Linked DNA regions of Oryzias latipes. The protein of the gene in region 1 purifies or fractionates together with the protein of each later gene. This does not show direct contact. Links are inferred from orthologs where the notes say so. Each region holds a gene or a part of one and is shown in the gene's direction. Other genes may lie near its edges.

The links.
Region 2: the proteins of stub1 (region 1) and dnajc13 purify together in Homo sapiens (affinity purification with mass spectrometry; 3 studies listed by BioGRID and IntAct, with this or other methods). This does not show direct contact. The link is inferred for Oryzias latipes from reciprocal best matches to the Homo sapiens genes STUB1 and DNAJC13.
Region 3: the proteins of stub1 (region 1) and hif1a purify together in Homo sapiens (affinity purification with western blotting; 3 studies listed by BioGRID, with this or other methods). This does not show direct contact. The link is inferred for Oryzias latipes from reciprocal best matches to the Homo sapiens genes STUB1 and HIF1A.
Region 4: the proteins of stub1 (region 1) and yap1 purify together in Homo sapiens (affinity purification with mass spectrometry; 3 studies listed by BioGRID and IntAct, with this or other methods). This does not show direct contact. The link is inferred for Oryzias latipes from reciprocal best matches to the Homo sapiens genes STUB1 and YAP1.
Region 5: the proteins of stub1 (region 1) and nadsyn1 purify together in Homo sapiens (co-immunoprecipitation; 3 studies listed by BioGRID and IntAct, with this or other methods). This does not show direct contact. The link is inferred for Oryzias latipes from reciprocal best matches to the Homo sapiens genes STUB1 and NADSYN1.
Region 6: the proteins of stub1 (region 1) and pparg purify together in Homo sapiens (affinity purification with western blotting; 3 studies listed by BioGRID). This does not show direct contact. The link is inferred for Oryzias latipes from reciprocal best matches to the Homo sapiens genes STUB1 and PPARG.
Region 7: the proteins of stub1 (region 1) and hspbp1 purify together in Homo sapiens (affinity purification with western blotting; 4 studies listed by BioGRID and IntAct, with this or other methods). This does not show direct contact. The link is inferred for Oryzias latipes from reciprocal best matches to the Homo sapiens genes STUB1 and HSPBP1.

The regions. Positions count from the first base shown.
Region 1 is NC_019877.2:8,950,354-8,954,361, reverse strand, and holds the end of stub1 (E3 ubiquitin-protein ligase CHIP), read left to right. Parts: intron 1-94; coding exon 95-260; intron 261-348; coding exon 349-424; intron 425-534; coding exon 535-591; intron 592-1,299; coding exon 1,300-1,416; intron 1,417-1,990; coding exon 1,991-2,116; 3' UTR 2,117-3,508; downstream 3,509-4,008. UniProt on the Homo sapiens protein: E3 ubiquitin-protein ligase which targets misfolded chaperone substrates towards proteasomal degradation.
Region 2 is NC_019878.2:21,481,510-21,485,009, reverse strand, and holds part of dnajc13 (dnaJ homolog subfamily C member 13), read left to right. Parts: coding exon 1-85; intron 86-960; coding exon 961-1,347; intron 1,348-1,423; coding exon 1,424-1,537; intron 1,538-1,608; coding exon 1,609-1,725; intron 1,726-2,724; coding exon 2,725-2,902; intron 2,903-2,976; coding exon 2,977-3,068; intron 3,069-3,138; coding exon 3,139-3,238; intron 3,239-3,310; coding exon 3,311-3,385; intron 3,386-3,472; coding exon 3,473-3,500.
Region 3 is NC_019880.2:11,961,647-11,965,146, reverse strand, and holds part of hif1a (hypoxia-inducible factor 1-alpha), read left to right. Parts: intron 1-1,315; coding exon 1,316-1,506; intron 1,507-1,775; coding exon 1,776-1,927; intron 1,928-2,070; coding exon 2,071-2,155; intron 2,156-2,503; coding exon 2,504-2,613; intron 2,614-3,062; coding exon 3,063-3,265; intron 3,266-3,437; coding exon 3,438-3,500.
Region 4 is NC_019871.2:6,488,494-6,492,653, forward strand, and holds the start of yap1 (transcriptional coactivator YAP1), read left to right. Parts: upstream 1-1,360; 5' UTR 1,361-1,956; coding exon 1,957-2,157; intron 2,158-3,257; coding exon 3,258-3,493; intron 3,494-4,160. UniProt on the Homo sapiens protein: Transcriptional regulator with dual roles as a coactivator and corepressor. Critical downstream regulatory target in the Hippo signaling pathway, crucial for organ size control and tumor suppression by restricting proliferation and promoting apoptosis.
Region 5 is NC_019861.2:38,222,793-38,226,292, reverse strand, and holds part of nadsyn1 (glutamine-dependent NAD(+) synthetase), read left to right. Parts: intron 1-3,181; coding exon 3,182-3,313; intron 3,314-3,386; coding exon 3,387-3,458; intron 3,459-3,500. UniProt on the Homo sapiens protein: Catalyzes the final step of the nicotinamide adenine dinucleotide (NAD) de novo synthesis pathway, the ATP-dependent amidation of deamido-NAD using L-glutamine as a nitrogen source.
Region 6 is NC_019863.2:9,220,182-9,223,681, reverse strand, and holds part of pparg (peroxisome proliferator-activated receptor gamma), read left to right. Parts: intron 1-2,422; coding exon 2,423-2,561; intron 2,562-3,500. UniProt on the Homo sapiens protein: Nuclear receptor that binds peroxisome proliferators such as hypolipidemic drugs and fatty acids.
Region 7 is NC_019866.2:14,512,615-14,516,855, reverse strand, and holds the start of hspbp1 (hsp70-binding protein 1), read left to right. Parts: upstream 1-1,441; 5' UTR 1,442-1,565; exon of another isoform or gene 1,566-1,569; intron 1,570-1,764; exon of another isoform or gene 1,765-1,769; 5' UTR 1,770-1,789; coding exon 1,790-1,912; intron 1,913-2,476; coding exon 2,477-2,693; intron 2,694-2,794; coding exon 2,795-3,019; intron 3,020-3,129; coding exon 3,130-3,285; intron 3,286-4,241. Other genes in the region: tufm (elongation factor Tu, mitochondrial), read right to left, coding at 724-760. UniProt on the Homo sapiens protein: Inhibits HSPA1A chaperone activity by changing the conformation of the ATP-binding domain of HSPA1A and interfering with ATP binding. Interferes with ubiquitination mediated by STUB1 and inhibits chaperone-assisted degradation of immature CFTR.

The DNA.
Region 1 (4,008 bases):
TTCTGCAGCTTTTATTCAACAACGAAACACGGAAGGAAAAGATTTGGTCAGCAGTTCATTGACTTATTTGTCAACCTTCCCATTGTTTTTACAGCTTATAACTTGGCGAAAGAACAGAGGCTGAATTTTGGAGACGACATTCCCAGTGCTTTACGCATCGCCAAGAAAAAACGCTGGAACAGCATTGAGGAGAAACGCATCAACCAGGAGAACGAGTTACACGCTTATCTGACCAAACTCATTCTGGCTGAGAAGGAAAGGTGAGCTCTCCTGGGAAAAATCTACTTATTTCAATTATTGCTTTTTTAAAATCTGCAATCCATATCACCATAACTTAATATTTTAAAGAGAGCTGGGTGATTACAAAGAAAAACACGATGACAATCAGAACGGAAGTGATGCTGCCAAGATCGCGTCAAGACATGTAAGCTTTTACATTTACTCTATTTAGCCACAGCAGCTGTTCCACATTTTTTGACATGTCTGATCTTCTTGATTTATTGATTTACTTTTATCATCCTGTGACCTGCAAAGGACAAATATTTATTGGATATGGAAGAGCTCTTCTCGCAAGTTGACGAAAAAAGAAAAGTGAGTATCAAAAGTCGTTTTTTTTTGGATCCTTCTGTGAAATATTAATGTTTTTTTAAGTTAGATATTGAAAATCCAGGTGACATTTATCTGTATATGCTAACATGACACTTTCATTGCTACCATAAAAGCACAATTAGAAACCATTAATGCAAATGTTTGCTGCTGATCTCTGTTTCTTTATTTTCAACTGACATCGATATCACTGATAAAATGATGTAATGCTGTAATGCTTAGTTTGTTTCTATGGTTACGGTGTGCGTTTCTAATATAGCTAAATGTTATCTGCAAGGATAAAAGCATGAGTTTTTGTTTTTTTGCCAGTAAGGTGTTTTTTTTTCTTCTGCTTCTAAAGTTCAGAGCCCAGAAAAGCTGCCAGTATGTTTTGACAACAAAGCAGTTTGGTTATAATTTAAATAATGATGCAGTTTCTTAGCAACCAAATATGGTTTTTGGTTTCTTTCACTGTTGTGTACCTTCTCTGGCAAACAAATGAGCTGTTTTTGAAATAAAACAGTAGAGGTTTAAAATGCTTGAGACAAATTTTCAAGGAACGGGCGGAAAAAACAGAAATCAATTTTTCTTTTACTTAAGTGGTTTTTTTGTTAAGTGTATGTAATGTTCAGAAATGAACAGATATGCTCTGAATCTTGTCAAAGAGGAGAGACGACTCTTTGCTTCACAATTAGTTTGATTGTTTCTTTTCAGAAGCGGGAGATCCCGGATTATCTGTGTGGAAAGATCAGTTTTGAGCTGATGAGAGAACCCTGCATCACACCAAGCGGAATCACGTATGATCGCAAAGACATCGAAGAGCACTTACAGGTAAAGGTTTTGTCCTCCAGCACTTTGATTGCTTCCAAATAGTTTTGTTTTCTAAATAAGCTATCGTTAAAGACCCACTCCGATCATCTTTTGATCTATTTTTAAGGCGTTCCCAGTGGTATTTTTAAAATAGTTATTATATTTTTAGGCAAAATCAGAAAAGCTGTCATTTTCTAGAATATAGTTTCTGCAGAGTGGCAGGAGTTCATTTGAAATGAGTTGTGGCCTGGAGTATTGCCAGGGGAGCAAGCCCACCCCCTCTCCCCCTTCCCGTGAGAGCTCAGAGCAGGAAGCCTTGACATCACAAAAAAACTATTTTTCAACAGTCTTCTCCTGATTCACAACGGTTTGAATAAAACAAATACTCAGAAATGTAATTTTTAGCTTCATTTTCTCCATATATGTCCTCCATCATCAGAAAAAGGCTACAAGAACAAGCTAAAAACACCAAATGCAATTTTCATCGGAGTGGGTCTTAGAGTAAACCTCCAGTGCAGTTGTGTGATTCCTCTCATTGACCCTCCATACATTTTGCATGTAGAGTACTGATGGATTCATGAAAACGTCTTTGCAGCGAGTCGGTCACTTCGACCCGGTCACCCGGAGCCCCCTGACCCAGGATCAGCTGATCCCTAACCTGGCTATGAAGGAAGTGATCGATGCCTTTATCCAGGAGAATGGTTGGGTGGAGGACTACTGAAAAAAGCACCTCCCATTTCTCCCTCATGCCCCCCACCTCCACCTAGTACTCAACACGAAGCCTGAACTACTGAAGGCTTTTGAAAACAGATCACCCCTTGCCTGGATATGCATCTTACACAAGCAGGAAAAGCCGCACTCTGGACTGCCCAGTGGGAGCCGTGGATCTCGGTTTGCCTCCTCCCTGCATTCAGTTTTTGCTGTAAAACTTCTTGCTGCAACTCTCCACAGCTCAGTGTTCATATGCTGCTCCCTTTAAGAACCCCTCTCTTTCTTTCTGTCCGTCTCTTTTAGTTTTTTAGTCTTTTTCCGCTCGACTCCTCTGTGATCAAATCGAGGCCATTTTCAGGTCTTTTTTGCACATTTCCTGCTTTTCTTTCCTGCTGTTTCTGAGTGCCACAGTTATTGAAAAGCTTTGATCTCAAGTGTTACACGTAAAACACTAATATTTAAAAAAAAACAAGTATAAAAAAATGATCATTTTTAGTTTTGAATTTGGCCTTTTTTTCCCCATTGAATGGCTTTTCATTTGTCCATTTGTTAAAGGTCAACTTATTTGTATAAAAGTTTGACATCAAATGCAACATTTTACTGCAAGACTTTTCAGGACCTTAACACAATTTATTTTCCTTTTCATATCAGTCACCCCATAACAGACAATTCAAATCAGCTGAATGTATAAATGATGTATTTCATAAATTTTTTTAAACAACGATTCAAGGTGTTTTGTTTTTGGTCCTTTTGGGGTAATCATGTCAAGCCTTGAACAGGAAGTGTGACGATGAAATGCTGCATTTAAAGAACGTTTTCATGTTGCTGGTTTGACGTTTAAAGCAGAAATCTTTCAACCTGGGAGCCACAGTGGTTTTCTCTGAATCCTGACCCGACTGTCCGTGTTCAGATGTTGAGGCTCACCTGGAATGACAGCCTACATTAACCACGTGAGCATCACCGCCCCTCCCCTCAGATTCAAGAAATGCTGGAAGACTTACGACCATCTTCTTTCCTCCATACCTCAGTCCAAGTGTTTGCGTGCTGGAGCTCCAGCATCCCTCTTTGTGAAACCCATTATGGTTCTGTGCTTGCCGTTGGCCGGTTTTCCAGCTGAATGTGTTTGTGGTTATACGGACTTGTTGGTTGTCGTTTTGTTTTGGGGTGCAGACATTGTACATAATTTGCTGGTCTTACTCAAAACGTTATTTCTTGATGAGATAGGTTTTTTTTTTCTGGAGAAATCCTAAAGCTTGAGAAACTGTATTAAATGTAGATATGTTGATAACAGAAATGCCTGATTCCGATTTCATTCATTTGTCCCCATTCAACCATAAATTTGGAGTATGTATGTTGTGATGTTTGATGCTAGTGGATCATTAAAAGAAATACAAAGAGTGAATGGAACTCCGCTGCTTATTTGACATTTAGTAATAAAAAGTTCATGGAAAACCTTTCTTTTTTTGTTTAATGAAGTGTCTAAATCAGAAGTGACTTAGAAACCTGTAATTGGCACTTTTTTGTTATTTAAATCCAGTCAACATGCCTTATTTCATGGATTGTTTGGTCACTAGGTGGCGCCGCTCTTCTAAAAAACATTTTAACTGACAAAACTTATTAAAACAATTCAAATATGCAAGAATCAGTTCCGATGGGATTCTGCAGCTGTAATAATTCCACCTATTCTGGCTCATTTAGACCCATATATTGAAAAATTGTTTCAAGAAAATTGATGAAAGTGAAAAGAGTGCAAAATCACAAAAGGAATGACTCTTACCAAACTTTAGAACATGGCAGACCCATTAAGACTGTAGTTTCTTATTTAAGCTATTTATTCTTCAGCTTTACAATTTTTTTTCTTGATTAAAATGTTGCTTTTTTGCTAAATGAAGTCGGTTTTGA
Region 2 (3,500 bases), on another chromosome or scaffold:
AGCCCAGTTTGAAGAGTGCAGAGAAAAGATCATCGAACAGCCCAACATCATCCGTGACCTCTGTCACATCCTGTACTACGGAAAGGTAAGAGCGATGCCTTCGTGCATCTACAGGAAAAAGTCTTCATATTATGACTTAGACACTAGAGAAACCATCTTTAAAGAGGATGTTTTAGCTTTTTATAAACACTATTTTGCCAAAAATCATACTTTTATTGAAGATGTGAGGGTTACGTTTTAAAAATTAGTGAAATCTGTGAAGAATTATAGACGCCAAAAGGCTGTAAAACGAAACACTTCTTACTCTTTTCCCTGACAGACATGAATATTTTCACACTCTTATCTCTTGTTTACACACTCAAAGAATAACACTTTGCAGAAAAGCAAGTAAAGTTTTTTTTAAATGAAGACAAAAATCAGATATTTATGTAAATTTGTCAAACTGAGCGCATTCTGTCCAGGAGACATTATACAGATTGGCGAGGTCTACGGCCAATCCGAATGCAGAACACAGTGCGCTATAAAAAAAAAAAAATTAGAAGAACATGCAACATTGCACTGAAATCCCTGAGACGGCAAAACAGGAAGAGATGAAGTGCAAAGCAGCGAAGGAACACTTTACAAAGCTGGAGGTCTTATTGTTACAATATGATCATATAAAAATGTACAAACTAAAATAGAAACGTTAGAGGACATCAATAAAATAAGCCTTTCTTTATTACATTATTACTTTTGACCTTTAGGTTTTTGCCAAAGTTTTAACCTTTTTTCATTTTTTAGGTCAATAATATTTGAAATAATCTAATAATTTGATTAGATGAGTTCAAATAATTCTGTGTATTGAAACGGTGGCAGAGGGCTCTAATTTAATATTTTCCTTCTTTGAAGGTGCCAGATCTTCTATGAAGATGCTAAATGTTGTCCACTTAAAAGTCATTTCCTGTTCTTCTTCCCCCCCAGACTCTCCCAAAGACTGCAGCTCTGGCAGTTCAGTGCGTCAGCTCCTTTGCGGTGGATTTCTTCCTGCAAACCCATCTCTTCCACGCCGGCGTGCTCTGGCACCTTCTAGGCTACTTGTTCGGCTACGACTACACCCTGGAGGAGAGTGGCGTTCAGGCCAACCAGGACACAAACCAGCAGGAGGTGGCCAACAACTTAGCCAAGCTCAGCCTGGTAGCTCTCAGCCGTCTTGGAGGCTTCGCCCACACGCCAGACGGCAACAACCCAGTTGCAGAGACCAACGGCGTGGAGGGCGCCCCTCCCGAGAACCCCACCATCCGCAAGAGCTTAGCTGCCATGCTCACTCCGTACATCTCAAGGAAACTGGGAACGGGAACTCCCGCTGAGGTCATTTGAACAAGAAGACCGCAACCACTTCTGTAAAGAGAAAAACGGCTTTTAGCACTTATTTCTGTCTGTTCAGGTCTTGAAGCTGCTGAACAGCAACTCCGAAAACCCCCACCTGATCTGGAACAACGGAACTCGAGCCGAGCTGCTGGAGTTCCTGGAGGCACAACAGGAGGGGAACATCAAGAGGGTAAGACTCAATGCTCACACGGGCATTTACAGTCTCGGGTCGTCTTTTTCAGAAGTCCGTTTCCTTCACAGGGAGAAAATGATAAAAGCTTCGGTGCAGACTTTGTGTTCAGCGATCACAGCAAGGAGCTCATAGTGGGGGAGATCTTTGTGCGAGTCTACAACGAGCAGCCCACCTTCCCCCTGGAGGTAAGTCGGCTTCTGTTCATCTTTGGCTTTTGTCGTGGAATGATCAGAAAAACGCACACAGTGACATCAAAAATAACATTTTGGGTTCATCGAATATTATATTTTGGTTTACCTTTTTTTTTTTTACTAGAAGTAGCTCAGGAGTATAAGTCACTGGAGCAAAAATTGACGTAATAAAGAAGAAAAAAGTCATATATGAGTCGCACTGAAATATAAGTTGCACTTTTGGGAGAAAAATGAGATGCTTCTAAACAACACCGCCAAGCCCGGCATAATGCTGAATTCACACCAAGCATGATGTACGCAAGAAATTCACATCAGCTGCCTCTCTTTCGACGTGCGTCGAATTTTCTGCTCAACACTTCTCCATAAACATGTTCATAAACTAGACACTTGCGTTGTGTTTGTGTGTGTGTGTGTGTGTGGGAGGAGCTACCATCAAGCGTATTTCGCCTCACTGCTACATGGAAGGCTTGACATGATACGGATGATGTCCAGAGATTTCAGTTTTATTTAGAAAAGCGCCACAAAGGCATCGGTAAGGGGTGGATGAGATCATTCAGAGACTCTCCCAGCATGCTGAGGTTATGCAGCAGAAGCTGCGTCTGAATGACGGACGCTCTCAGCGGCACTTCCGTGTCTCTGTAACCGCGTTTAATGACTTTCCGAGGAAAGAAAAGATGAAAACAAGAATGAAAATGACTCGAAACAAGAATATAAAGTTCAGGAGGAGAATGATCAGATTCCTCTCATGTTTGATTTGGACGGCGCTTCTTCTTCTTCTGCATTGCTGTCAGTAGTGAACACTGATACACTGACCTGCAGTGCCCTCTACTGGTTGTTAGTATGAAAGTTGCAAAGATATGAGCCTATAAATTCCAACCTCACACCTCAGTATGAGTCACTCCCCTGGCTAAACTTTACTGAAAAATGTGACTTGTACTCTGGAAAACACGGTAATAGGCATGATGAATAATGTACATTTTGGTCTGTATTTAGTATCCCAAAGCGTTTGCTGCCAGTCTGCTGGACTACGTTGGCTCCCAGGCCCAGTACCTCCACACGCTGCTGGCCATGAGCCACAGCAACAAGGTGGAGTCCCAGCAGCACGCCGAGAGGCTTCGCTTCGCTGAGATGGCTTTAGAAGCTCTCCGCAACGTCATCAAGAACAATCCTGGTAGGGAAGACGACACCAGAGTGCGGTGGTCCACAGAGGAATCCTGACTCTCTGTCATCTCTTTCTACGCACAGGTTCAGAGACCGAGTGCATCGGCCATTTCAAGCTTCTCTTCTCTTTGCTGCGCGTCCATGGAGCTGGCAGAGTGCAGCAGCTGGTTCTGGAGGTGCGTTTTATGTCCTCTCGATGCGTCTGTGTATCCCAGCAGATTGTAACGGTTTTGGTGTCCCGTTAAGGTCGTCAGTACTGTGACGTCAAACCAGGAATGTGTGGGGAACATTGCAGAGTCCATGGTGTTGTCCAACTTGTTGCTGCTGCTGCATTCTCTCCCCTCCAGTAAGAAACTTCACGGTTTTATCGTCTTTTAGGGTTTATAGTTTAACTTACTGACTTTGTTGCATCCTTCAGGCAGGCAGTTGGTGTTGGAAACCCTTCACGCATTGACGTCAAACACAAAAATTGTGAAAGAGGCTATGGCCAAAGGTCATTGCAGACGTTATTCATGTCTTCTGAAATGTTTTGAGTCTGAATTTTTGCAAGGAGACTTATGCGAGTTCTCTGGTCCCGCAGGTGCTCTCATCTATTTACTGGACCTCTT
Region 3 (3,500 bases), on another chromosome or scaffold:
GTGTAATAATTGTTTGTAATTGAGTATACCTTTAAAGCCATTGTTTTACCAAGCTCTGATTCCAAAACCACCGGTAGTAGTTTTTAAACAATAATCGGTCTTGATTTTTCAGCATCTTAAGTTGCATTCTTTTTTAATAAAAATTGTTGCTGACCCAAAAAGAAAAATACCATTGTAAACACTTACAATATAAATAACAATTTCTAAAGACCATTTATCATTTTTGATCCATTTCAAAAGTGTTCCTAGTGGTCTTTTAATAATGATTATGTTGTTTTTAGGCACAAAAAAAGAGACTGTCGTTTTCTACAACAGTTTCTGCAGACTGACAAGAGTGACTCTCCTCATAAGTTGTGGCCTGTAACCGTGGCATGAAACAAGCCCCCACCCCCCCCCATCTGTTTACATGCTCTCCAGCTAGCTTACAGCCACTCACAACCCCAAGCTAACCATATCAGTGTAGCGAAAATGATGAGGAATATCTTTCTATCTATATCTAGCTATCTAGCCGTACAGTTTTCAGCCAGATGCCGTCTCCAACCAGGAAAACAAAGACATACAGAGATCTATTTGTCTATAAGTGGATGCATCAAAATGGAGTGGAGCGGCACCGTGTTGTGCTGCTGTGAAAAAGAAAACAGAATCAACTTATTTGTGATTTTTTTTTTTTTTTTTTTTTTTTTTTTTTTTTTTTTTTAAGTGATATTTGATGTTACAATTAAGTTTTTTTTTTCTTTTTTGGTTTATTTATTTATTTATTTATTTATTTTTTGCAAACAGTGGTCCTTGAGGGGCGGCTCCTCAAATGTTTTGGAAGTGGTGTAGTCGATGATAATCGGTATTTGTAAGGTAAACATACAATCAAAAAGGATCTTCAGGATTCCTGTTTAGTTCGATAGTTTAAATGTTGGCTTCTTTATGCTCTTTGAGAATCAGATTTAGTGTGTTAATCTTTAGATTTTGCTTGTACAATGTAGACAGCCCATTAATCTGTTCTTGGTTCATTGCATGAACAAATTCAGATTGGATCAAAAGCAAATAAAAGTCTGATGGAGCTGCTGGCCCAAGTTAACCTAAATCATGAAAATGTACCTTAATCTGTCTTGTGTCTCCATCTGAAGCTTAATAAACCAAGCTTTAAAATACATATCATTTTTGATTAAATTGCAAAATACCAGAAAGTACAGTCAGTTACCTAGAAGTCTAAAGCTTTGGCTGACTGAATAAAGGCTGGTCAGATGTCTGTCTTAGTGTGAAGTTCATCAAAGCTGGTGATTGGCATTGCTGTTGCTGATTGACCGCCTCTTCCCTGCAGAGTGAGTTCAGAGCGGAGGAAGGAGAAATCCAGGGATGCAGCGAGGAGCCGGCGTGGGAAGGAGTCGGAGGTGTTTTATGAGCTGGCCAAGCTGCTGCCGCTCCCTCACAACGTCAGCTCCAGCCTGGACAAAGCGTCAGTCATGAGACTGACCATAAGTTACCTGCGTATGAGAAAACTACTCGGCACCGGTTAGTATGTTTAATTTATGTTGTCGGGAAAGCAGAGCAAACTGAAAACAATTGTTTTGGTAAATCAAGAAAAGTATGATAACATTTAAACACGTGGAGTTTGAAAAAATGGGTAACTGTAAACCAGTTGTTTGCTCTAAACATACTGAGTCACACAACCTTACAGGCTGCTTTTGTTTGCTTAGTGTCCCAAAAAAGTTGACATTTCTTCTTGTTTATTAACACTGCCTCACTCTAATCTCTTTCCCAACTTCATGTTATTTTACCAGATGAGCCTAAACAAGAAGAGGAAACAGAGCTTGATATGAAATTCAACAGTTCCTACATGAAGGCTCTGGACGGTTTTCTCATGGTGCTGTCTGAAGACGGAGATATGATTTATCTCTCAGAGAATGTCAACAAATGCCTTGGGCTGGCACAGGTTAGTCCCGTAATATCAGAAACAGGACAGTAGAAAATTTCAAGAAGCAAACAGGAAGTTTGGAAGTAAGGCTAGACTTCCTACGAGAAAGAGGAACGCATGGAGATGCTCCACAGTTGTTCACGGCTGACATCTTTTTGCAGTTTGACCTGACCGGGCACAATGTGTTTGACTACACACATCCCTGTGACCAGGAGGAGCTTAGGGAGATGTTGGTGTACAGAACAGGTGAGCTGCAGCAACTTCAGAGGAAAACCAACTCCTGCATCCCAGATGTAACGTTGATAAGAAGAGTTTTCTCACATCGTGATGAGCAAACATGTTTTACCTTTGATTTGCTGCTGGGTGTTGATGTTAATTACATTTAGCTAAGAAAATGATTTTTACTAAAATGAGCTTTTTGGAGCAGATTTGCTGCCTCCAGCCCAACCCCCCCCTCCCCCCCCCCTCATTTTTAATCAGTCTTCACCCCAGTGAAAGTATGTATGTAGCTCAGTGCCTCCTCTTTGTAGCTGCTTGAAATGTAACTCTGGTTTACTTCTGTCAACTCAAGCTCAACATTTCTTGTGTGTTTAGGCTCCAAGAAAGCAAAAGAACCAAATCCAGAGCGCAGCTTCTTCCTCCGAATGAAGTGTACACTCACCAGCAGAGGGCGCACCGTCAATGTCAAGTCAGCTACATGGAAGGTTGGGGTCATTTTCAAGTCATAACAATATTTTAGGTCAGAACGTCAATGTCAGTTTCAATAGTGATAGACATGTGGTCAAGTTTATCAGGTTTTTTTCATGTTTAGTTTTTATTGAGTGTGAGGTTTTATTTGTTTAACCTTCTAGAAGCTGCATGACTGGTTAATGTGAGGCCTGTTCTGTATCAGTGCGACTGTAATAAGATAATAATGAAGTTACACAATAATCATAATGAGATTGCATTCATTGCCTTTTGAACACACTTCAGTTGGCAGGATCACAAAGCAGATAAACGACACATTTGGTATTGATATATTGTAAATTTAAGAAGGGGATTTTTTTTTTCTTTTTCTTTTAGAATATAGATAGGTGAAATGTTTGTATCCAAAATAAAGGAAAGCATTTTGTTGTCCTATACTGAATGTGTTTTTACTGTTTTGTGCCTGCAGGTGCTTCATTGCTCAGGTCGCGTGCACGTTAACAGCGTTGAAGCTGAGCAGAACAGTAACGGACAAAAAGAGCCTCCTGTTCCGTACCTGGTTCTGATCTGTGACCCAATCCCCCACCCCTCCAACATCGAGGTCCCTTTGGACACCAAGACCTTCCTCAGCCGCCACACAATGGACATGAAGTTCACTTACTGTGATGAGAGGTGGGTTTTTTTTTGTTGTTTTGTCTCCTCCTCCTCCTTTTAATACAGTAAGAGCAAAAGGTTAAGAGTGTGAACTCATTTAAAACATTTGTAACCACACAGAGCCCCCTACTGTTCAGTACTGGTACTGAAAGTCTAGACCTAAAGAAAATCTTTGTTTTGTTTAATCCAGGATCACTGAGCTCATGGGTTATGACCCAGAGGACCTTATGAATCGCTCTGTGTATGAGTACTA
Region 4 (4,160 bases), on another chromosome or scaffold:
ATTGTATGGGACAGAGATGCTTCTGTATCTAGAGAAGGAGGTTCTTGACAAAATGATTTCTCAATGGAAGAGGGGCCTCATTAGCATAACAATTGTGGGAACTTGCATGGCTCTACTTTACATACAGTGTAAAAAGAAAAAAGAAAGAAGAGATTGTTCCATTTCCCTCAGCGATTGAAAGAAAATTGTTCTTTTCAAGATTCTTGGGAAAAATCGTGGCACCTTTTATGTTCGCAGCTATTTTCTAAAGTGGACTTTCTGCAGGCCTTTTCTGGATCAAATCTGTCTGTGTGTGAAGCACAGAGATGAGTTTAATTCAACAGATTTATCAGGATTTTAATGTCGCATTTGGGGGTTTTCTTCTTGTCAATAGGTCTGTTTAGTTGTACAGAGCAACCTCTGGTCAATATAGGCGTCTCATTTCAGGCTTCATTTTTGTCTATTAGAAATTTGTGTTTGACATCATAGATGGTCACTTCACTGTTTGTGTATGTTTATCGCTAATTATACAAAAAAAAAAATGTTCCTTAATGAAATAAAAAACAGACCATTTCAAAACACTCCCCTGTAAAACAAACTTATCATAAATGGAAAACAAAGTAGCATACGTCAACAAACAAGGGATCCTGGAAAACCTCTTAATTCAATGTTTAAAGTTCCTTTTTGTTTTTTTTTAGAGGGGAGTCGATAGAAAATGATCTGCCTCTGAAACCAGCTTCTACTGGTCATTTTAGGAACTGCAACATTTAATATTTTCAGGAATTCTTACATTTGGTAACTGGATATTTTAATTAAAAGCAAAAAAAAAAAAAAAAAAAGAAATCAAAGAACAAAGGGACCCTGGGAATCTACCTGTAGGGTGTAAATTTGTGGTTTTTCAAATTGGAGAGTCATTGGAAAATCCCCTACCTCTGAAACCAGCCTCTAGTGGTCATTTTAGGAACTGCAGTATTTAGTTCTTTAGGGTTTGTCTCACATTTGGTAACTGGACGCTTAAATTCAAAGCAAAAAACATTTTTTTAAACTGATCCTGGGAAGCACATCTGTAAATTTAGGGTCTAAATTTGTAGTTTCGTAGGAGGGGAGTCAATAGAAAACGACCTCCCTCTGATACCAGCCTCTAGTGGTCATTTTTGAAACTACAACATTTTCTTTTATTGTTATTTTAATATTTTCTTAAAGATCGAGGTAAATAGAAATAAAAGCTATATTTTATAATTTTGTTGTATACTTCATAATTGCTATTTTGTCGCAGTCTTAAGTTTAATGCTTTTTTGCAGGATAAATGGGTCTCAGGATAACTGCCTGTACCTTTAACTCATCCCAGTTGGAGTGTGGCCCCGCCCCCTTTGCGCAGACGTCCCATGAGCCATAAAGTTTTATGTCCTGCTCAAAGTTTAGGCTAACAGGAGGAAACTTTTTTTCGGGGCAGTGAGCGGCACAGATTTGCGCTGAGTCTGCCTTGGAAAATTCCTGGGGAGGAAAAAGTTTTGAAACTTTTCCGAAATTGGGAATGCCGGGACTTCTTTTTACTGCCTGAACTTTGGTGGTGTTACCTTTTTTTTTTTTTTTTTCACCAACTTTTGCGGCACTTTTTTTCTGAAGGGGGGGGGAGTAAAAGCTGGGTCCGGACGACAATACAGATTCCAGAGTGGAGCAGATATGCGCTTTGTTTTATGTACAAGTATGTCAGCTGGGAAAAGCCAAGGAAAGCGGCCTTTCTCTGCTGATTTTGACAGCTAACATCGTTCGAAAACAGCCTCGCGGCGGTCCGCTCGAAAAAGTAGACCGACGTTAAAAAGTCATGACTTTGCAAAACTTTTACTAAGTTTCGTTAGAAGTTAAAGATTTGACAAAAAAAAAAAAAAAGTTCGGGGACGGCTCGAACCGCCTTTGAAAAGTTTCGTAACTCAACGTTTTCGGGCCGCAAAGAGTTCGCAGAGCGCTTGTGGAACAATGGATCCGAGCCAGCACAACCCTCCTGTCGGACACCAGATCGTTCACGTTCGGGGCGACTCGGAAACGGACCTGGAGGCGCTTTTCAACGCCGTGATGAACCCCAAGGGCGCCGTCGTGCCCCAGTCCGTGCCCATGAGGATGAGGAAGCTGCCGGACTCCTTCTTCAAGCCCCCGGAGCCCAAGTCCCATTCCAGACAAGTAAGACCCCCCCCCTCCAATCCCGCGGGGGCCCCGGCCTAAACACGGCCACCTCTGCTCAAAACAACCGCTCCATCTAGTTTTTTTGTTAAAATCACGATTTTAGTCCGTTTTTTTAAATGTATTGTAAGCGCAAATTATAATTTTAATTAAAAGAAAATCATCAAAACATTAAAAAAAAGTTTAAACGTTTTGCAAGAAATGTGGATACATTTATTTGAACATAAAACTTTATTGCGAAACTTTGTTAATTCATTTATAAACAGTCATTTAAAGGTTAGTTAGATATACTTTTTATTTTATTTTAATACAGCTTCAATATAGAAATCATATGATGATTGGATTTACCCCATCAACCCCTCCCTCCCAATTTCCCCTTTCGACTGCTTACCGAAGTTTTGTAACTAGTGCGCATGCGCCGTGCAGGCCCTCTGGTGCCTTGGATTATCTCTGTGGGCCCTGACACAAGTTGGATGCACATCCAGATGACTCAACAGTGTTCAAGTCTGACTTAATGATCATTTTTTTTTCATTTTTTAGAGATTTTTCATTATGCTGCTGTTTTATAATACAGTCCAAAATGAATCACTGTGATACTCCTCATTGGGACAAACAAGATAAATAATGTCTTTGTCTTTGTCGCTAATAAACTAGATATAATGCAGAAGTACTGCAAATTTTTTTTTTGGGGGGGGGGGTCCTAGACAAACAAAAAACAAAAAAAAACTAAATAAAACCCCCACCTGCCAACTTTACTATTTGTTGTTTATCCCCCCCATATATGTTTACATTTCAAATAAAAAAGCTTGTCTTTATGCATTTATTTTTGAAAGCACGCATAAACTGTAATAAAAACTAGAAGAACTTCAGAAGAAGACTAAACAATTCCAAACCCAGCCCACAAAACATACAGTTTATAGATATTAGGAAACGAGACAAAACATGTATGTAGTCACAGATGATCATTCAATGAAAAATACAGTTTATAGGGGACTAAAGCAAGCAGGTCCTCTAAAGGTACATGAAAATATGTGACATTTAGTTATCAATGTATTGAAACAATGTAAAAAAATAAATAAAACATCTTCTTTGTAACTCAGGCTAGCACTGATGCTGGGAGTGGCGGCGTGCTCACCCCCCACCACGTACGCGCACACTCGTCTCCAGCTTCCCTGCAGCTGGGCGCCGTTTCGGGTGGCTCCCTGTCTGGGATGGCCTCAGCAGGCGCCTCCCCCCAACATCTCCGGCAGTCGTCCTACGAGATTCCCGACGACGTGCCCCTGCCGCCAGGCTGGGAGATGGCCAAGACCAGCTCCGGCCAGAGATACTTTCTCAAGTAAGTGTGCAATCTAACAGCGTGTGCATAAAAGTGAACGGGGCTGGAATCGAAAACGGGTGGACAGCAGACGGTAACATCTGGACACCAAAATGGGTCTCGTTTCTTCGTCGAGAGGAGTACGAACTCAAAGCCTGGAGGCATTTAAAAACTGTCAAGGTTCCATAACCTTTCTTCCAAAACATAATTTGCAGAATGCACCTGTTAATGGGACTCTAATGTTCCACCGATTAGGTTAACGCCCATAAAAAAACGGACCAAAGCGAGTCCAACAGATGTGGAACAGGTGTTGTTTTCGTCCAACCTGCAGAACATCTGTTGCACAGACTGTACATGCGAGGCACTGAATGCCCCATCGAGTGTGGCTTTCAAAATATCCCCGTGTGATGAGTTGCACCCAAACATTCAAAGAGTTCTCCCAGCAGATCTTTGATTTCTGCGCCAGGGTCCACGTGCAGCAAAGACCTCCAGAAATCCTTCTGGTTCTCTTTGGTTTCAAGATGGCGGCGGACATCATCGGGCCGGAAGCAGAAATCATACAACTAATCCTAACCCAAAAGTGTTCGGAATTGTAGCCAAAACTTCTACCAAGGCTTCAAATGAGAGAAATCGTAACTGTTGTCAGTTAAAATGAAAATTCTCTGAGCGATAATGGTGGACTTTCCAA
Region 5 (3,500 bases), on another chromosome or scaffold:
CAGAAGCTTTCATCTGTGCTGATGCTCAAATCCGCATCCCATTTTGTTGTCGGAAGTGAAATATTATTATCTAAATTACATAAAAGTTTGTATATTTTGGAGAGAGTTCTATTCATTGAAAAATTAATCAGAGTGGTAACTACATCTGGTAGCTTTAAATCGTCGTCTTTAATTTTATACTTTTTAGTAATACTTGATTTAAGTTGCTGATATTCCAAGAAGTTATTTATTCCATGTTTGTCTTGAAGTTCCTGGGGAGTTATGAATCTTCTATTAATAATTACGTGCTCTAGTTGTTTTATGCCCCCTGCTTGCCAAGCTGGGAAGTGAATCATTTTTTTGTTAATAAGGATGTCCGGGTTGTTCCAGATGGGTGTCATTTTGCACGGTTGAATTGATGATTTTGATATTTTGAGAAATTCCCACCAGGCTGTTAAGGTGGCATTTATATTAATGCTTTTGAAACAATCCTGTTTTTTAACTGTTTGGCTAATAAATGGTAGCTGTGACAGGTTGATCTTTCCACATAACACCTGTTCCAAGTCTAACCATGAGTTGGTTTCTGGATTATTTTTTAACCATTTTAAGATATATTGTAATCTATTTGCAAGAAAGTATTTGTGGAAATTAGGTAGTTCTAATCCTCCACAGCTTTTTGCAGATTTTAAAGTTTTTAGACTAATTCTTGCAGGTTTGTTGTTCCATAGAAAGCTTGATATGGATGAGTCTAATGTTTTGAACCATTTTAATGGCGGTTGTGTGGGAATCATTGAGAAGAGATAATTAACTTTGGGTAAGATTTTCATTTTAACCGTGGCTACCTTGCCCATAAGGGACAGAGGCAGGTTGGTCCAGCGTGTTAGATCGTCCTGTATGTTTTTCAGTAATGGGGTGTGGTTTAGCTGCACCAGTTCTGATAGTTTGGGGGAAAAGTAGATACCCAGATATTTGATATTTCCTGTTTTAACTGGAATTGTGAGTCTTTGTTCCATATTCCTGTTGAGTGGTAATAAAACAGACTTATTCCAATTAATGGAATAGTCTGATATGGAGGAGAATTCATTTATGATCATTGCTGTTTCATTTACAGAATGTAAATTCCTTAAAAACAGTAATATGTCATCCACATAAAGACTAATTTTATGATGGCTGTGTTTGGTTTTTATTCCTATAATGCTCTCATTCTGTCTTATTGCTGCAGCTAAAGGCTCAATGAATATAGCAAAAAGAGAAGGAGAGAGTGGGCAGCCCTGTCTGGTTCCTCTTCCAAGAAAAAACCTGTTTGAAGTCTGTTTATTAGTTCTAACTGATGCATTGGGGTTGTGATATAATATTTTGATCCAATTGATGAATGCTTCTCCAAAACCAAACTTATGGAGGGCAGCAATAAGGAACTTCCAATTAACTCTGTCAAAGGCTTTTTCAGCATCCAGCGATAGTACCGTCATTTCCTGGTTTTTAATGGTGGCAAAGTCTATTATATTAACAAGTCTTCGGAGATTGTCATCCGAGTGTCTGCCTTTGATGAATCCAGTCTGGTCGAAGTGAATTATGTGAGGAGTGATTTTTTCTATTCTCTGTGCTAGTGCTTTGCAGATAATTTTTACATCTGCATTGATTAAAGAAATGGGGCGATAGCTTGAAGGACTAGTGGGATCTTTGTCTGGTTTTAGAAGAAGAATTATGTTGGCTGAGTTCATGTTAGGTGGCATTGATTGGCTCTCATTAATAGATGTGACAGTTTTATAAAATGTTGGTGCCAGTTGTTCCCAGAATTCTTTATAAAACTCAGCAGGAAAGCCGTCAGGCCCTGGTGCTTTACCATTGGGCATAAGTAACAGAGCTTCATGAAGTTCAGACGGCGAGAGCGGAGAGTCTAAGTTTGTGATTTGATCCTCATTTAGCCTGGGTAGGTTTACATTATTAAGAAATGAGTCAATACTTTGCTCTGACGGATTGATCTGCGGTGTGTACAGGTTTTTATAAAAGTTTTCAAATGCGTTATTAATTTTGACCGGGTCATGGGTGACATTTCCTGTTTGGTCCATAATAGAGGTGATTGATGATTTTTCTCTGTTAATTTTAAGCTGATTAGCCAGAAATTTGCCAGATTTATTAGAGTTTTCAAATCTTTCAAGTCGTAGCCTTTGTATTTGAAATTGTGTTTGTTTATTAATGATGTCATTTAACTGCAGCTTTAAATTTTTCAGATCTCCCAGAATGTGTTCCTGTGCAGAAGCAGCAGAAGCAGTCTCCAGGGTTTTGATTTTATTTTCTAATTCTAATAAATCTGCTTTCTCTTTGCGTTTTTTGTGCGTTGAATAAGAAATGATTTTCCCTCTCATGACTGCCTTTGCTGTTTCCCAAAGAAGACACTGTGAAATATCGGGAGTATTGTTGAAGTCTAAGAAGGTTGCCCACTCTTTTTTAAAGAATTCAAGAAATTCCTGGTCCTTTAACAGAGACGTATTAAACCTCCAGGTTGTACCAGAGGGTGTGGATTTTTCCCTAGAAATGTTTACAGAGACTGGTGCGTGATCACTGATAATAATTGGATGGATATTGGAGCTTTGAATATTTTTTAAAAGAGAGTTACTGATTAATAAATAGTCTAAACGGGAGTGTGAATAGTGAACTGGAGAAAAAAAGGTGAACCCTTTAGTGTTTGGATGACATGAGCGCCACGCGTTGCAGAGACCCAGATCATTCATGTACTGCTTTAGAATACTTGCAGATCGCCATGTACGCTGGTTTGCTGCTGTGCTGAGTCTGTCAAGTTCAGGGTCCAAAACAAGGTTGAAGTCTCCTCCTATAATGATTGTGGAGTCAGAGTGGACTGAGAGTGAGGTGAAGAATCTGTGAAAGAAGGAAGAGTCGTCAAAATTAGGACCGTATACACTCGCTATACAAAAGTCCTTGTTCTGAATGGATATATTAATGATTACAAATCTGCCTTCTGGGTCAGTAACTGTATCCTTATGAGTAAAATTAAGATTTTTATTAATTAAAACAGCAACTCCTCGTTGTTTGGAGTTGTAACTGGCAGAGTATATAACTGGAAATTGTAAGCAGCACATAAGGTGATTCAAAGAATTCGATAAATGGGTCTCCTGCAGTAGAGCTATATAGAAACAGAACTGAATGGTTGCCGAGCGTCTAACCTTTGGGGGCGGGGTTTCAGACTGGGGGCATCTACTTGTACGCCAACCAGAGAGGCTGCGACGGGGACCGGGTCTACTATGACGGCTGTGCCATGGTGGCTGTGAACGGGGACGTGGTTGCTCGGGGCGACCAGTTTTCCCTGGACGACGTGGTGAGTCTGCAGGCAGCTGTTGCCGTGGCGACCGCAGCTGCTCGTCAGAATCACCTGAGCGTTTGTGTTCCAGGAAGTGGTGACGGCCACTCTGGACCTGGAGGACGTCCGCAGCTACAGAGGAGAGCACCTCCAGCCCGCCATGGTGAGCTGCCAATCCAGACGCAGAGCCCCGCCCCCACCCTCA
Region 6 (3,500 bases), on another chromosome or scaffold:
TAAGAAAAGTACAATGTCTGTTTAATTAGGGCTTAGAAATGTATGTGTGGAGTAAAATCTTATTTTTGGAATAGTACAAATAAAGAGGAAAATATAAATTAATAATGTCCTTATTCTTTAGCGGTGAGGCTCTGGGGTGATCCGTGCTTAGGTTGAACTCTGACCTTAGAGCCTAGACGCTGATGGTGGTCAGAGGCCAAACCATTCCAAAGCATCTCTCCTAGGATGGAGGAGGGCCGGGGGACCATCTAGAAAGCAGGGAGAGAGACACACAATCATGAATTTACAAAAATATGACTATGATTGGCTGAGAAGAAAGCAATTCGTTTAAAAGTGAAGGGCTAATTGCTAAGGACGAGTGACGGAACAACCCAGGACATCTGTAAATGAGTTGGATCTTCCTGATTGAAATTGTGCTGAAGCTTCACTTTAGTGAGTAGCCATCGAGGAATTTAGCAATATAAACCACAGTCCAATTAAACATTCATGCCATAATTATTTATTGGAAGAAGGTGTCTTTTTTCTTCTTCATAAAAGACCAAACCTGCAGCAGATTGAATATTGTAATACTATTAAGTCCAATCATTTCTTCCATAAGGCAGCATTTACCAAAAGAAGGCTAACTTTATAAAGAACTTAGTGTCTAATAGATACTCTCTTTTTTCTTAAAGCAGCGTTAAAAGTATTTTTGACATACTTTATCATTTTAAAGTTGTCATAGAGCGTTCAAGTTTAGGGTGCATGTTTGACCATACTCACATTTAATAAGCTATTTGTTATGTCTTTTTGTTTTATTTTTTTTTTTTTGTTTTTTTTTGTTATATGTCTTAAGTAATTTAACACTTTTGAAGATGCGTTTCAGTTAGTTGCAAGATCTAATCATCCAACTAAAAGCATAATGATTGAAATATTCTATATTATATCAACTCTATTTTCTTTCATTCATTTTTAAAAAAGAAAGAAAATTTAGAAAAGTGAATGAACTGGAAGGCTTTTTTTCTCAGTGCAACTTTTACTAAATGGATTTATTCAAATTACTAAGAGATGAAAAAATTCCTAAATATTAAGTGTAAGTGACTTTTTTGGAGAAATCTGTTTTAAAGTTCACTATGATTAACAGAAAAAAGTTCAATCTGTCAGAGTCTTCACCTGAATCAAAGGATTTTCTGTTGTGTCTCAAAAATGTCACAAACTTATATTTGATATTAAAAGTGACAGAGTTGTCTTAAAATATCTATCTGTGTTTTTACCTAGAATTCCATTTCTATTCAAAGATCAGTGACATTCCAGTTTTTTTTTAATATGATTACAAAGAGGCAACAACACATGATCTCATAATTCTTGAGACTCACATTTACTGACATAATATTTGCAGAATTTTTCCCCAAAACACATTTTTAAGCACTAAACAAATTTGAAAAATGGTATAAAAAGAAGAGCTTTCGTCGCTTCAACTGCTAACCGCCAAATGTTTTTGGTCACAAAAGACACAGAAGACACACAAAATACACAAAAAAGTGTATTTTTCAGTAAAAAAAAAAGTCAAATTTTCAAACCTATTGGAAGAAATCTTTATACATTCCCAAGTACAAATAATTGACAACAAAGAGAGTAACAAACTGTGCCTTTTTTCCACTATTTTGGTAGCTGCAGTTGAAGGAGTTTCTGTTTTCAAGTCTCCTCGTACTGTATCTTCAAAGGCTGTACACAGTAAGGTACGGGGAATACAGTGGTTATTGTTCTGCTCACGTCTCAGGGGAGACTCACCAGAAGAGAGGGGTCAGCCAAGCAGGCAATCCCTGAATTGTTTTAAAACAGAAAAACATTCTTTAATGAGGAGGAGCCTTGACCCTCTTTAACTTCCTCCTTCTGTAAATAACCTACAATTTGAAAAATATATTTATATATGTCTGCAAAAAAAAAAAAGGTTGAACATAAAAGAAATACAGAGTTCAGGTGGGAATGTTTATGCAATTCCCTTTTAAGTCTTTATTTATATTTAGGCTTCAATAGGTTGTGGTGATTAGATTCTACAATCAGCTCAGACGGCGCAGTCATCAAAAAAAAAGAAAAAGAGTGTACCTGCATGTGTTCATTAGGAGTTTGACCGTGTATACAGAGCTAATGGCTGCGATAAGTAACAATCTTATGGCTTCTTGGTCCTAAAGTCAACTTCACTCATGTGCAGTTCCACCCAAAAGTAATCTGCTTTCATTTACCACACTTTGCTTGAGATGGATTCATAATTAAAAATAAAATCTGGACTTTTTTTATTCATTTCTTATGAGATTCAGACATTGCTTTGCAGAGTGCTGATGGAGAACGAACAGGGTTCTAAAAGCAAATCTTTTGAGTTGCAAGAGTGTAAAAAAAAAGTTGAATTGCATCTATAGTGACCATTTTTCTTTTTTCTCCTTTGTAGGGTTTCTTCAGGCGCACTATTAGGTTAAAGTTGGTGTACGATCACTGCGACCTTCACTGTCGCATTCACAAGAAGTCCCGCAACAAATGCCAATACTGTCGTTTCCAGAAGTGCCTCAACGTCGGCATGTCGCATAACGGTAAGATGCTGTTGTTGCTCCTCATGTGCAGATTCTGTTTTTGTGTGTTTGTTCTTCTTGCGTAAAGCAATCTCACGTCCTAAAGTAAAACAATAACCGTCGGTCTGAGAAAAAAAAAAAGTCAAAGTTTCTCAGCATTTGAGTGTCATAATTGTCACACCTATATGCTCTTGACAGGAACAAAACCCCACACTCATGCTCACCAGAAATAAGCAGATGCAGGTTAAAAAAAACACAACTTTGAAGTTGTGGTCTAGGAAACATTTACAGAACAACTGCTCTGCCTCTTAGGTCCTCTGAGAACAGCACACACACTTCTGACCACACACCTGCCTCTTTACACTATGGGGTGTGGTGTACATGTAGCACATCGCCTTGTGTGGTGTCTTTGTTGTTGTTTTTTTCGCTCTCAAGACGTTATCAGAGCTTTAACTGTACTTCCCTCCCATTAGCACGATCTAAATACAAATTTGTTGTCCATCAAATAGAAACTTTTTTTGTTTATGGCTTTATTCTGCATGAGATAACTCTATTTAAATGCTCGGTACGAACTCAACTCTGTGCGAGGAAGGATTTTTCCATTAATTTTATTTCAATCACTGTATTTAGTTAGTTAGTATCCTTATGAATAAAACTGGATTCCAAGGAAAACCAAAATCCTTTTACATGAAAATGCATCATGATTAATCAAATTAGCTGTATCAATATTGGCCTAGATGTTTTGACTTGCACAGACGATTTCATCAATCATTTGCTACATTCGATTTTAACATCAGTTGTGTGTACTAATAAGATTTTTGCCATGAAATCAGCTCAGATATTGGTTCCAGAATGCAGCTTTGGTAAAGGACAAAACACAGATACCTAATATGAACACCAGGGGTAAAAAAATAAATACATCGCTTAAACACTTTAAAGATATTTTTGGTTCATAATTGT
Region 7 (4,241 bases), on another chromosome or scaffold:
CTTTTCCCCCCAAATACATGTCTGTGTATTACATTGTTGTGTTGTTTGCTGACAGACAAAAAAAATAAAAAAATACGAGTACTCTTTTAATTTGAAGGTTTCTTGAGTTTTTGGTACTTTTGTAAAAATGATAAATGTCAACAAATAAACACGCCCTGTTTATGGCGGACACTTTAAAGACGAAAAACATGAAAAAATTGTGAAATATATGGGGTACATTATTGAAAACAAGGTTGAGAACCACTGGCCTACACAACACAGGTTTCTATTTGGCTTGTGCAAATAAAGTCAGCATCTTGAATTAAACAAATATTGGAGGAAATAAAAAATTGTATACAAAACTAAAGCAATTTAACACAGGCTTTCTTTAGCTAACATGATGAAGATGTCAAACATACAATTCCAACCAGGTTTGAAGGCTGGATACACTCTTTCCAGTGAGATTCTGCAACCGAAATAGTTTTTTATTCGTAAAAACAAAGTTTAAATTGATAACATGTATCATAAATGTTATTTTTTCCTGTCAACCCTGTGGTTAGCTAACCCTCATTATTCTTGGTAACGTGACCTTGCACTGCTATCACAGCAGCAGCATCGTGTTCTTTTAAAAGTCATTTATTCAAAGATTTTATGATAATAAACAGAAAAGCACGTTGCTTTAATCCTACTAGCTCCCTCGAAACAGAAAAATTCATACAACTGAAAACAATTGAACTATTTTACCGGAGAAACACGCTCGAAGCCCTACAAGCGCAGCCATCTTGGACGGTGGCAGTGACCAAAGACTTCCGACATCAAGAGACTTGACGGACCTAACTTCCTCTTTACTCGATCAACCGTCGTCAGTAGATGTATAACCAAAATCAACTATTTACACAAATCAATTAAGATTAAATGTCTTCTTCTTATTATTATTTTTTTTATTGATATATGTACTGCACTGCCAGATGTCTATATTTGTAAGTCGATGATGAAAAAAATGTTTGTAACATTTGAGTCTACGTTTTATTTTTTTGATTTATTTTTATATATTTTTTATTTTAGAACAAAGGTATGAATAAAAAAGTCATACATTTTTTTTCCTGCGAGAATAAGGTTGCTTAGTTTTAATCCAAAAACATTTCTTCAAGTTCAGTGTATGAATGCACATAGTAGATTGCGAAGATACTAATTTCAATTTCACTGATGCTCTTTGGGTGTATAACCTCAATCGGAAGTCTCTATACCGTAATCATGTTAATACTTCAATATAATTTTGACATTAATTATGATGTAATTTAACGTAAGATTGAACTTACATTTTCAAATTAGTACAGTAAAAAACGTTAATCTTAGGACAAAAAATTTAATTTAAAAAAATTAGACAAAGACACCTGACAAAGATATTTTTCCCATGGACTCTTTTGGTGTTTTACGGTAAAAAAAAAAGAGTGCGCATGCGTCAACGGGTGCTGCCTAGAACCTTCCAGTGTGTTCACGTGTTTGTGTTTTTAAGGTTGGACTTGCGGCAACAACTCCTTCATTCAGAAAGATCACTGGACATTAGAGCTAAAGCAGAATAGGACGTAAGTAAGTTTTTTTTACAGCTAGTTTGTTGTTGATGTGCTTTTCATTTTTGTCTTACTTAGCGACCAGTGCTTTTGTCAGAACAGAACTAGCTTGTAAGCTAAATAATTAAAATAGGCTCCCAGAGATAGCCTGTTTTGTTGAAGACATGTATTACCATTTCGCAGGACATATTTGTTAATTGTTCTGTTTTGTCTGCACAGCTGTGAGGACAGAAGAAGACATGTCGGAAGGCGAACAGAACGGCAGGAGATATCCCCGGAATCTTCAGGGGGTTTTACAGATGGCAGTAGATGCTGGACCAGCAGCAGAGGCTCCAACTCCAGTTCAGCCAATGTCAGAGGAGGTAAACCTGCTTGTTTAGGGAATTTCAATTCACTACAGTCCTGAACCTAGTGTTCTTAAACACTGTTTCACCATGTTTATGTGAGGAGGATATTTCATACTAAATAATATGATCAATTGATTTAATTAGTCTCAGTTGAATGAAACATGTATTTATTTGTGAGTTCTTTTCTGAAATCGTTTGGTTTCAAAAGCAGTAAACCCAACCTTTTATATGTGACACTACTTCAACTTCTTTAGTGGAAAAAACAGTTATTTATCGGAATGAAGTAAAATGCTATTAAGAATTTTTAAATGGCATGCATGTTCTTAAATTTAAGAAAGAGTTAAATCAATTCTTTCTTTACCCGATACAATGTTTGATACTGTTCCCTTGTGATTCATTTTTTGTTAAGTATGACCTTAAACATTTTTGTTAAATCTGACCTATAACAACTTTCCCGTTTACTTTTGTAAACGGTTACATTTTAAGATTTAGTTTCATGCGCAGTCCTTGTTTTTATTTGTATTTTTTGCCATTGGGGACTTTGTTTTTGACCAACAACTGCCTTTGCTTTGGGTTCAGAGAAAAACGTGGCTGCGGGAAGCGCTTTCTGAAGTCTGTAAAGGCCAGCTGGATGAAGTAGAACAAATAAAGCAGTGCTTGTCCGTCCTGCGTAAAGAAAATGTGGGTGACAAGGATGAAAATGGAGAAGAAATGAGGGACGAAGATGATGAGGACGAGCGGGAGTCGGCCTTTGAGATGCTGTCAGAGTTGTGCGAGAACCTGGATAATGCTAGAGGTTTGTGATAATCGCTTTTGGAAATGATAGTGAGAGCAGATGTTGACATGATTCCAGATGGTATGGACTAAATTAATTCATCTCTTCTCTGTTTTTTACAGATCTGATGGTGCTTGGTGGACTAGAATTGTGTGTCTCTCGGTATTTGTGTCACGTCCAGAGCGGGCTGAGGTGGCGTGCTGCTGAGCTCATTGCCTCCTGTGCTCAGAACATGCCACAGCTTCAGGACCACCTGCTCAGTATTGGGACTCTTCCAAAGTTGCTTCAACTAACGGATTCTGACCCGAACCCCACCGTCAGGGTCAAAGCACTTTATGCGGTCTCATGTAAGTTCCTGTCTGGCACTCTGACCAAAGCTGCTCTAAGTGTGTCTTTCTAAATGAGTGATGTTGAGCTCCACACAGTTGTCCAACGGTGTAACGCTGTTTGACTGCAGGTTTGGTTCGAGAGCAGGAAGCCGGGCTTCAGGCCTTTTTGGCTCATGATGGATTCTCGGTGCTGATGAGAGGCATGCAGTCTGAAAACGAGAAGCTCCGGACCAAATCTGCTTTCCTCCTGCTAAACCTGTTGACCTCACACCCTGACCAGAAAGGTATGAATAAGGAAAAGCACCTAAACCATCCCCTTTACTCACCTGCTCATTACAGTTTAGAACAGGGGTCGGGAACCTTTTTGGCCAAGAGAGCCATAAATGCCACATATTTTGAAATGTAATTTCGAAAGAGCCATACAATAATGTAGTGTCCCTTCCCCACAGTGAGGCACGGAGACTTAACCTCTTTTAAAGTTCTTTATTCCGATTACTGCAGACCGCAACAAACGCCGTGCAATTAATTCAGCAACTCCTGAATCTCTCCCGCCGAGACGAGAGCGCGTCTCCCAACTTTATATTCCCCCCTCCCGCTGCAGCCCTCCCATTACCCTTATTCGGCCCATAGCTGAACCCCATTGGTCCAAACTACCTAACAACAGGCTGAGCGACAGAACTGAGAGCCAATCAGATCTCTGCTTGACGCGTTCAATGAACTCCAGAACTTTTAACGCGACCCAACAGCCATCCAACTCAGTCCGCGACAATTTGTTTAAAACTAAATATACAAATGAATGTGTGCATTTGATTTAATTTCAACATTTTTAAAGTACAATAAGTCTGTGGATTCTTTTTAATAACATTGTTATTCTGTTGCTAATAAATGGTGAGTATTTCTCGTGGTAGTTTTGCTGATGGTCTAGTCTGGTTGATACGTGGTGAGTTTCTGCTTCGTTCAGGCGTTGAGACTTTAAACGTGATCGTAGGTCTGAATGTTCTGTAGATGTGAGACAGACTGATCACATGCAGACGCGGAGCCAAACACACACTCACACGCTGCAGTGAGTGACGGGCAGTGGGTTTTACGTTATTACAATCCCTGCGCGATTCACCTGCTGCCTGTCCCCACAACACCTCACCCCCACCCTCTGCTTTCTCCCTCACACATCCCGTCCCCGCATCTGCGCGCTCTTTCTCAGAGACGGGAGCGTGCAGTTTTAGGTAGTCAATTCACAGGT